Mus musculus: one gene and its partner. The protein of the gene in region 1 purifies or fractionates together with the protein of each later gene. This does not show direct contact. Links are inferred from orthologs where the notes say so. Each region holds a gene or a part of one and is shown in the gene's direction. Other genes may lie near its edges.

Region 1 (3,745 bases):
AATGTGTGAATGTGTATGTGTGCATGTGTGTGTGTGTGTGTGTGTGTGTGTGTGTGTGTGTGTATGTGAATGTACCTAAATACAATCTGCTCAGTCTATACAATGTTACTTGCATGTGTAGGGCTTCCAGGGCAGACCATTGGGTACTGAATAACCAACCACTGAATACTGGATAACCAACCACTGGGTACTGGATAACCAACGGTACTCTTCCTTGGGGAAGGCTATCTCTCCCACTCTCAGCAATCCTTAGTTGCCTATAGTTCTGTGTGTAGGGTTGAGGCTTTGTGAGCCAATTAGCATGTCTACTGGTATCATCTTTGTCCAGCTCCTGTTCCAGTAGTCATGTGGGCAAAACTTTTTAGCTGTAGCCTCTGACACTCCTAAGAGAAACGGAAAACGGAGAATTATTCAACAAAGTCACATTACTGACTTGGAGCACTGGCTTTTGACTCTAAGTTCCTAACACCACCTTGTTTTTGTGGTGGCACGTTGTTTTGCTCCTTTATCCTGGTTCCTTGCAGATTGACTTTAAAGACGATCATTAAATCAAAGCAGCATGTCTCCAGGCTGCTGGGTTATCATTTCAGATCATTTCAGGTTGCTGAAGTCCCTCATTAAGGGATGCTGTAGTGCGGGTGCAGCCTGCAATCTGGAAAACCCTGTGATTGGGTAGAGAGAAAAGTGATGGAGCCCATCGGCTGTGACTGTGTGACACCCGGGTGGGCTCTATGTGTCATTTCACAATGCAGTAGGAAAGCCCCGTGTGGCTGGGATGGCTCAGTGCCCAATCAGGCCTAAGGCTCGAAACCAGCACTAGAGGTCAGAAAGAGCTGTAGAGCCTGCGGTCCCGCACAACAACGCAGGTGGGCGTGCCGTCCGGCGCTGCCCCTGCGCCGCCCCGCCCCCTCGGTCGCCGCGCCGCCCCACGCCGATTGGCTTGTCCGCAGCCCGTCGGCCGTCACGTGCCGGAGCGTCCCAGGCGCCTGGCTGTGGGCGGCCGGGCATGGACCCTCAGGCAGCCACCGGTCGGGGCCCGGGCGAGCGGAGTTCGCAGGAGGCCCCCAGCGCGGAGGTGAGCGCGACGGGGTGGGGGACGCGGGCATCCGCGACCACCCAGGCGGGAAACCGCGGGGTTCACGCGCTGCCGGGAGGCCGCTCACCCGGGAAACGCCGGGGCCGCGCGAGTGCACGCAGAGAGCCTGGCCGGTAACGGCAGTGGGCGCGGGAACGCGCGCGGACCCGAGCCCTAGGCTGTGGCTGGCGCTGAAGGGAGAGGGACACTGGGGCTGCTGGGGAGCATCTGCGGGAGTGAATGCAGGGAACGCGGAGCTGGCTTCCCGGAGCCGGCTGCCCTGAGCCCGCTCCAGCCGCAGGGGGCTGGGTCAGGTGGGAGCTGCGAGGAAACGGATTTTTTTTTTCTCACCTTGAGGACCTCTGGCCATTGGTGGGGATGTGTAGCTGACCTTGGACGCCAGATGTCACCCGTGCTTTTTCCCATTTGATGAAACGAATGGTCCCCTTGTGACACGGGTTTTCAGAAACTTGTTTTTAAGTGCGCGCCATACAGCCTTTCCCCATGACCTGCCCGTATTGCATCCACCTACTGCGAGCTTCTTGACTGTAGACATCCTGTTTCCCAGAAGCCGCACCTATGCCTGGTGTATCCTAATTGGATGAATGAATAGAACGCTTACCAGAGCCTCAGTGATGGTACTTGAAGCTGCTATTCAAGTACCAATAGATTTGCAAAGAAAATCACTTTTGCAAAATAGGAGAGTGATGTTGTTAGGGCGGATCTGGAAAGGATGTTCTTGGGTGAGAGGGTAGGCCCAGCAAAGGTCTGGATATGAGAAAGGGCAAGGCAAATGGCCTTGGAGCTTGGGTCGGAGAGCAGGCTTCTTACAGAAAGGAACGTGAGAGTCAATATGAATGGCATTGCTGGTCTGTGATGGCAGTGGAGGGCTCGCGAAGCTTTTAAGTGGAAGGGTGAGCAGGAGTAGGGAGATAGGCGTGAGGTTCAAGTAAGAGGTCCAGCACCATAGGGGGCAGCAGTGGTCTGTGGTTATCACGGACTACAGGAGATAGAGTCATTAAAGCTCAGGGGTGACTAGATAATGAACGGTAATTAGGGTGAGTGCTAAGTACAGTTTATTTACATGCAGGATGAAGGCTGGAAAGACAGCCATGGTGGTCTTACAGAGTTTGGCTTGGCTCTTAGCACCCACAACAGATGTCTCAGCCCTCTGCAACTCCCTCTCCAGGGGATCCTCCTGGTATATTCACACACACACAAATATACACAAATAAAATAAATATTGCAATTTAAGTCAAAGAAGTGTTACTTCTTGCAGTCTAACAGGTGGTTTTGTTATTATTGTTGGCTTTATTGTAATATTTTTGAGACAGGGTCTCATGTAGCCCAGGAGCTGGGCTCACTCTGTGGCCAGGACTTCTGATCCTCCTGCACCTATCTCCTAAATGCTCAGATTACAGAGTGGCCCACCATGCCTGGTTTTATGTAGTGTTGGAAAAATCAGTGTGTAGCTTTGTGTACACTAGGCAGACACTTGACCAACTGAGCTACGTCTCCAACATATGTTAGATGTTTTATAAATATCCTCCATCATACGACCCCTGCCAGATCAGAACAGCCATTCCAGTATCTAAAGGTCACAGCCTACGTGCATGGTGGGGCAACAACTGACATCAGCCTGATCATCCAAGCCCTGGACATTACTGTTTCCACTGCAGAGAGACCTTGGGGGGAGTAAAGTTTGGGGAACTTTGAGGCAACAGGCCGCAAAATTACCTGGTTGGCATTGGGGGGGGGGCGGGGTTAGGTATTCTTTCCAGTGTGTAGAACTCAGGCTGCTTCTCCCGTGGACCGCTGTGGAATGGCTGTGTTGGAAGGAGTTGTTAGACATAAAGACCTGAGAAGGGCAAAGGTGTGCAGAGAAGTTGCAGGTTCAGGAGACAACTATCAATCCTGGCCAGGAAAAAAGAGAAGTTAGAGCAGTTAAAGTGTTTTTGGACTTAGAGGAAAGAGTTTACACACAGACTTGAGGTTACAAGCCGAGACCAGGGAGCTGTCCCATCTGGCTCTAGGGTCTCTGAGCTTGGAGAAGTCCTGCTGCCCAGACTTCTGAAGAGGGCCTGGGGCTGAGAGCAAAACTGACAGCTGTGACAGCTGTCCATTGGGCACCGCAAAAGGGCACTCCCAGCGGTCAGAACGGAGAAGTGTTCCTGGGTGATGCCTGTAGCCTACAGGCCCTGTTCTGAGGCCTTGCCAGGTCCTCAGAAGGGTGTGCAAACTCTACATCGTGCAGGGCATTATGGGTGGGCGGGTTTGGAGCTTCAAAGCAGTGACATGTCCTACTACCCAAGTTCCTGGTAATTATTTCTTCTTCCACAGGCTGGCTTTGCCACAGCTGACCTCTCTGGTCGGGAGACGGAGACTGAGCTGGCCGTGGATCGACTAGGCAAGTAGACGGCAGAGACTGGGGCTGGGGTGGCCATTGGAAGAGATGGAGACAGCACAGTCCCGCTGTCTTGTCTATCTTCTCTTGCTAGCTGACCCACTTAGCCACTGAGTTACCTTCTTTGCCCACTGTCTCAGCGGGACTCTTGGTTTAGAAGCTTCGAGGAGGTACTGGATGACCGTGGACCCAAACCACCCCATTTCACTGGGAGGAAAAGCATCTAGTGTGTGTAGCTAGGAAGACTGTTTCAGTTTCAGACCCAG
Region 2 (3,745 bases), on another chromosome or scaffold:
AGGCTTTCAGTAAATTTCCCAGGCTGCCTTGAACGCACTCTGTTGCTCAGGCAAGTCTTGAAGTTGCAGTTCTCCTCGGCTGGGCTTGTGTTCTTGCCTTTCACCCACCTCCTGGCCTGGAGACTTGGGAGTTCTCACTTTTCGATGATCTAAACTAGTGTTTTCTGTCTCCTCTAGATAGATCCTTTGCAGGTGAGGTCATGTGCAGTTATTCTCCCAGCCTGTCTCATCCGAGTTTCCCTTACACCTGAAGGTTCACGTTACACAGCTCCTGTTGCTCTCTTGAAGTCTTGTGATGCCCTTCTACTTAACACCCTTGCGCAGACTTAAAAGGTCTGAGTTCTGCACGCAGTCTCTGCACCTTTCCTTTGATGACACCCCCCCCTTTTAAAAAACAAACTGTTCAAACTGGATTTAGCCTCCTCAATGTTGCACTTGAAAGAAAAGCGTATTTTTGCCTGTAACCTCTTGTGATGGCTTTCAGAGGCTTACCAATTGTGGTACCTACCGTGGCACCGCCCAAACAATAACTCTTATTGTTAATTTCTAGGGTAGGTCAGTCAGATTCGGAGAAACTCGGGACATCATCCGTATTCTGCTATGTTGCAGGAATTCTCTTAAACGTCACCCATTTACCTCTGTAAGGGCACACGGGATGACCCGGGCGTGTCTCCACCTTGGGAGAGGCCCGTTGGTCGGTCGGGCGCAGCGCTCTGGGGCTGCGTCCTTCGCGCCCCTGGCAGTCTCAGCCTTCCCTCGCGAGGCGCCGCACACCGAGCGCCTCTCGTGCAAGGGCGAGGGGTTCGTAGAGTGCGAGTCCGTTAGGCAAAGTGGGGTACAGGACTAGCTCGGGCACTGGCAGCCCATGTGGGTCGGGACTGACCCCCTAAAGCGGGCAGGTAAGGGGACTGGTCCCAGGCGCCCCACGGAGATCGGGGATTTGGGCGCAGGGGGCGGGGCGGTACCCAGAGGAGGTTTGGCACAACCCGGCCCTCCAGCTCCTACGCGTTCTGAGGAGAAAGGGCATGGCTTCCTTTTCTTCGTGGTGTCTTTCAAAACCGACAGGAGCGCGGATGAAAAGCTGCGGATTAAGGGTAGAACTACCGCCCCTGCAAACCTGAACGAACTCTGGATTACTACCCAGTCCCTGCGGGGAGCTGATTAGCGCCATTCCCCTCCCCCACTCCGGCGGGTAGGTCTAGAGAACGGTTTGAAGGTAGCCGCATGCGCATTAAGTAAAACAAGAAACCGCTGAGACGCCAAGCGCAATAATTGCAAAAAGGCGCAGGCGCAGAAAGAAAAAAAAAAAACAACCAAAAACACCTCGGTCAGTTTATGAAGAGGGCTGAGCCCAAACGCATGCGTGTAATAATAGGACGGCGGGAGAGAGCTCGGGGTTTCTTAATACGCATGCGTCCAATCTCTCTGTGACGCAAGTGGGGCGGGGCCGGCAACAGGGTGCGCGTGCGCAGAGCTTGCTGGAAGGGCTTTATTTAGCCTGCGCAGGCGCCCGCTTATCATTTCTCCTCAGCCACGCCGAGGCTTTTTGTGGAGGTGAGTGACTTTCCGTCTTCGACTGCTGCCCGAGCTCTCCACGGACACCTCTTTGGGTGACGATTGCTTGTCGCTGAGCTTAGGTTCTAACCTGAGGGGCCGTGGCAGGCGCAGGCTGCCCCTGGGAGCCGCGAGTGTCTCGCCGGCGTGGCAGCGCCGCCTAGGCCTGCAGGCCGCGCCGCTTTCTATTGTGTGAGATGTCTGAGGAGGCGGAGCGGAAGCGGCGGCCGCCATTTCCTCGTCTCAACCGTGGCTGTGGGCCAGGGTCTTATTAGCTTGGCGCCTCGGCCCTGGGCGCACTGGGCGGCTTTGGGCATCGGGTCGCTAGCCGAGGCCGGGTTGCATGCTTGAGTCTCCGGGGCCCAGGCATCCTGACGGGCGGGACTCGCATGGCGGCGCCCGGTGCCCGCTGTGCGCCGTGAAGTGGGAGGGCCATTTAAATGCCTGTTTTCTCAGACGCGTTCCTGACCCCCACCCCCACCCCGCAGCCCCGCAATCTGTGTGGACGCCAGGACCACCGAAGGGACGATGATGCTGGGAGCAGAAGGCGGAGAGGGCTTCGTGGTGAAGGTCCGGGGCTTGCCCTGGTCCTGCTCCGCGGATGAAGTGCAGCGCTTTTTTTCTGGTGAGTTGAGGCGGGAGTTGTCAGTGGGGCCCGCGGCTGGGCCGGGCCGGGCCGGGTTGGGGCGGGGCGGGTCTCCCGGGCGCCCCCTAGCGAGTCGCGGCCACCAGCGGTTTCCCCAGGCGGCTCGCGCTCTGTTGGCCGCTGTTACGCAATGGTAATTGCGAAATCCGCACCCCCCCCAACCCCCTTGGGGATGCTGGTGGCCCTGCTGAATTTGTTTTCTTTTAAAACTTTTTCTGTCTCTATGCATCAATCTGTGCATTCTGGAGTAGTCTAAGAAAAATTTAAGTAGGGAAAGATGTGATTTCTTCTCAAGTCGTGTAAGGTTTTGTAAAAAGGTACTTGTAGTGTTGACCTTACCATCTGAATTTAGCTGTGGTAACAGAAAACGATCTGTAAATCGAGCCCCAAGTATACTGCAAGCAATTGCAGGGGGCCGTTGCCGTCCGGGTTTGAGTTGAACTGCAGCTTGGAGCCTTTAGTTGTTAACATTGGTCCCTTTTCGGATGAATATTGAGCTGGAGTTTGGATTTGAATGAAATTGTTATGTGGTTGCTGATAGAGGGAAGCTGACATGGTACCCAAACAAGAAAATGCTGTGAAGTCACCAGATCCAGATGAGATTATTCTGAGATAGTGTACCAAGAGATGGTTAATGGAAACTTAGAGGCAAGGTGGTAGCTTCATTTGAACTTTTTTTTTTTTTTTTTTCGAGACAGGGTTTCTCTGTGTAGCTCTGGCTGTCCTGGAACTCTGTAGACCAGGCTGGCCTCGAAATCAGAAATCCGCCTGCCTCTGCCTCCCCAGTGCTGGGATTAAACGCGTGCGTCACCACTGCCCTGCTCCATTTGAACTATTTTTGAGCATTGAGTTACCTTGTTGGACTAGGAATATATCCTGTATATGAGATAATTTGATCGTGTTCTGCTTGGTCAGTCTTTTTAGGCATGTTTTTTTTTTTTTGGTGTGTGTGATGACAGGAATATGCATTTTATCTGTAGTGGTTTTAAATCCTGTATTAAGCGTTGTTTTCTTTTCAGACTGCAAAATTCAAAATGGGGCTCAAGGTATTCGTTTCATCTACACCAGAGAAGGCAGACCAAGTGGCGAGGCTTTTGTTGAACTTGAATCAGAAGATGAAGTCAAATTGGCCTTGAAAAAAGACAGAGAAACTATGGGACACAGATATGTTGAAGGTTTGATTTACATTGCCCTAGTAACAGTAAACGTTTAAACACATAGAGGTCTTACCCCTTCTGAATTTTAGGTATTTGACCGCATGGAAATGGTCATCTAAGGGAGTTTATGGCAGCTCTTCCTAGTTATCTAAAAGCCCAGGAAATCTGAACTTTGTTCTCCAACTTAATTGACTAATTCTAAGCACCTCTTTCAGTATTCAAGTCAAACAACGTTGAAATGGATTGGGTGTTGAAGCATACTGGTCCAAATAGTCCTGACACAGCCAATGATGGCTTTGTACGGCTTAGAGGACTCCCTTTTGGATGTAGCAAGGAAGAAATTGTTCAGTTCTTCTCAGGTATGTAGTCCTGTTTGTTGCTGAGCAGT

What was found. The genes of interacting proteins can lie anywhere in the genome.
Region 2: the proteins of Coprs (region 1) and Hnrnph1 purify together in Homo sapiens (co-immunoprecipitation; 3 studies listed by BioGRID and IntAct, with this or other methods). This does not show direct contact. The link is inferred for Mus musculus from reciprocal best matches to the Homo sapiens genes COPRS and HNRNPH1.

Annotation. Positions count from the first base shown.
Region 1 is NC_000074.6:13,887,497-13,891,241, reverse strand, and holds the start of Coprs (coordinator of PRMT5 and differentiation stimulator), read left to right. Parts: upstream 1-970; 5' UTR 971-1,006; coding exon 1,007-1,075; intron 1,076-3,415; coding exon 3,416-3,482; intron 3,483-3,745. UniProt on the Homo sapiens protein: Histone-binding protein required for histone H4 methyltransferase activity of PRMT5.
Region 2 is NC_000077.6:50,376,249-50,379,993, forward strand, and holds the start of Hnrnph1 (heterogeneous nuclear ribonucleoprotein H), read left to right. Parts: upstream 1-1,429; 5' UTR 1,430-1,554; exon of another isoform or gene 1,555-1,610; intron 1,611-1,987; exon of another isoform or gene 1,988-2,042; 5' UTR 2,043-2,082; coding exon 2,083-2,179; intron 2,180-3,219; coding exon 3,220-3,375; intron 3,376-3,572; coding exon 3,573-3,716; intron 3,717-3,745. UniProt on the Homo sapiens protein: This protein is a component of the heterogeneous nuclear ribonucleoprotein (hnRNP) complexes which provide the substrate for the processing events that pre-mRNAs undergo before becoming functional, translatable mRNAs in the cytoplasm.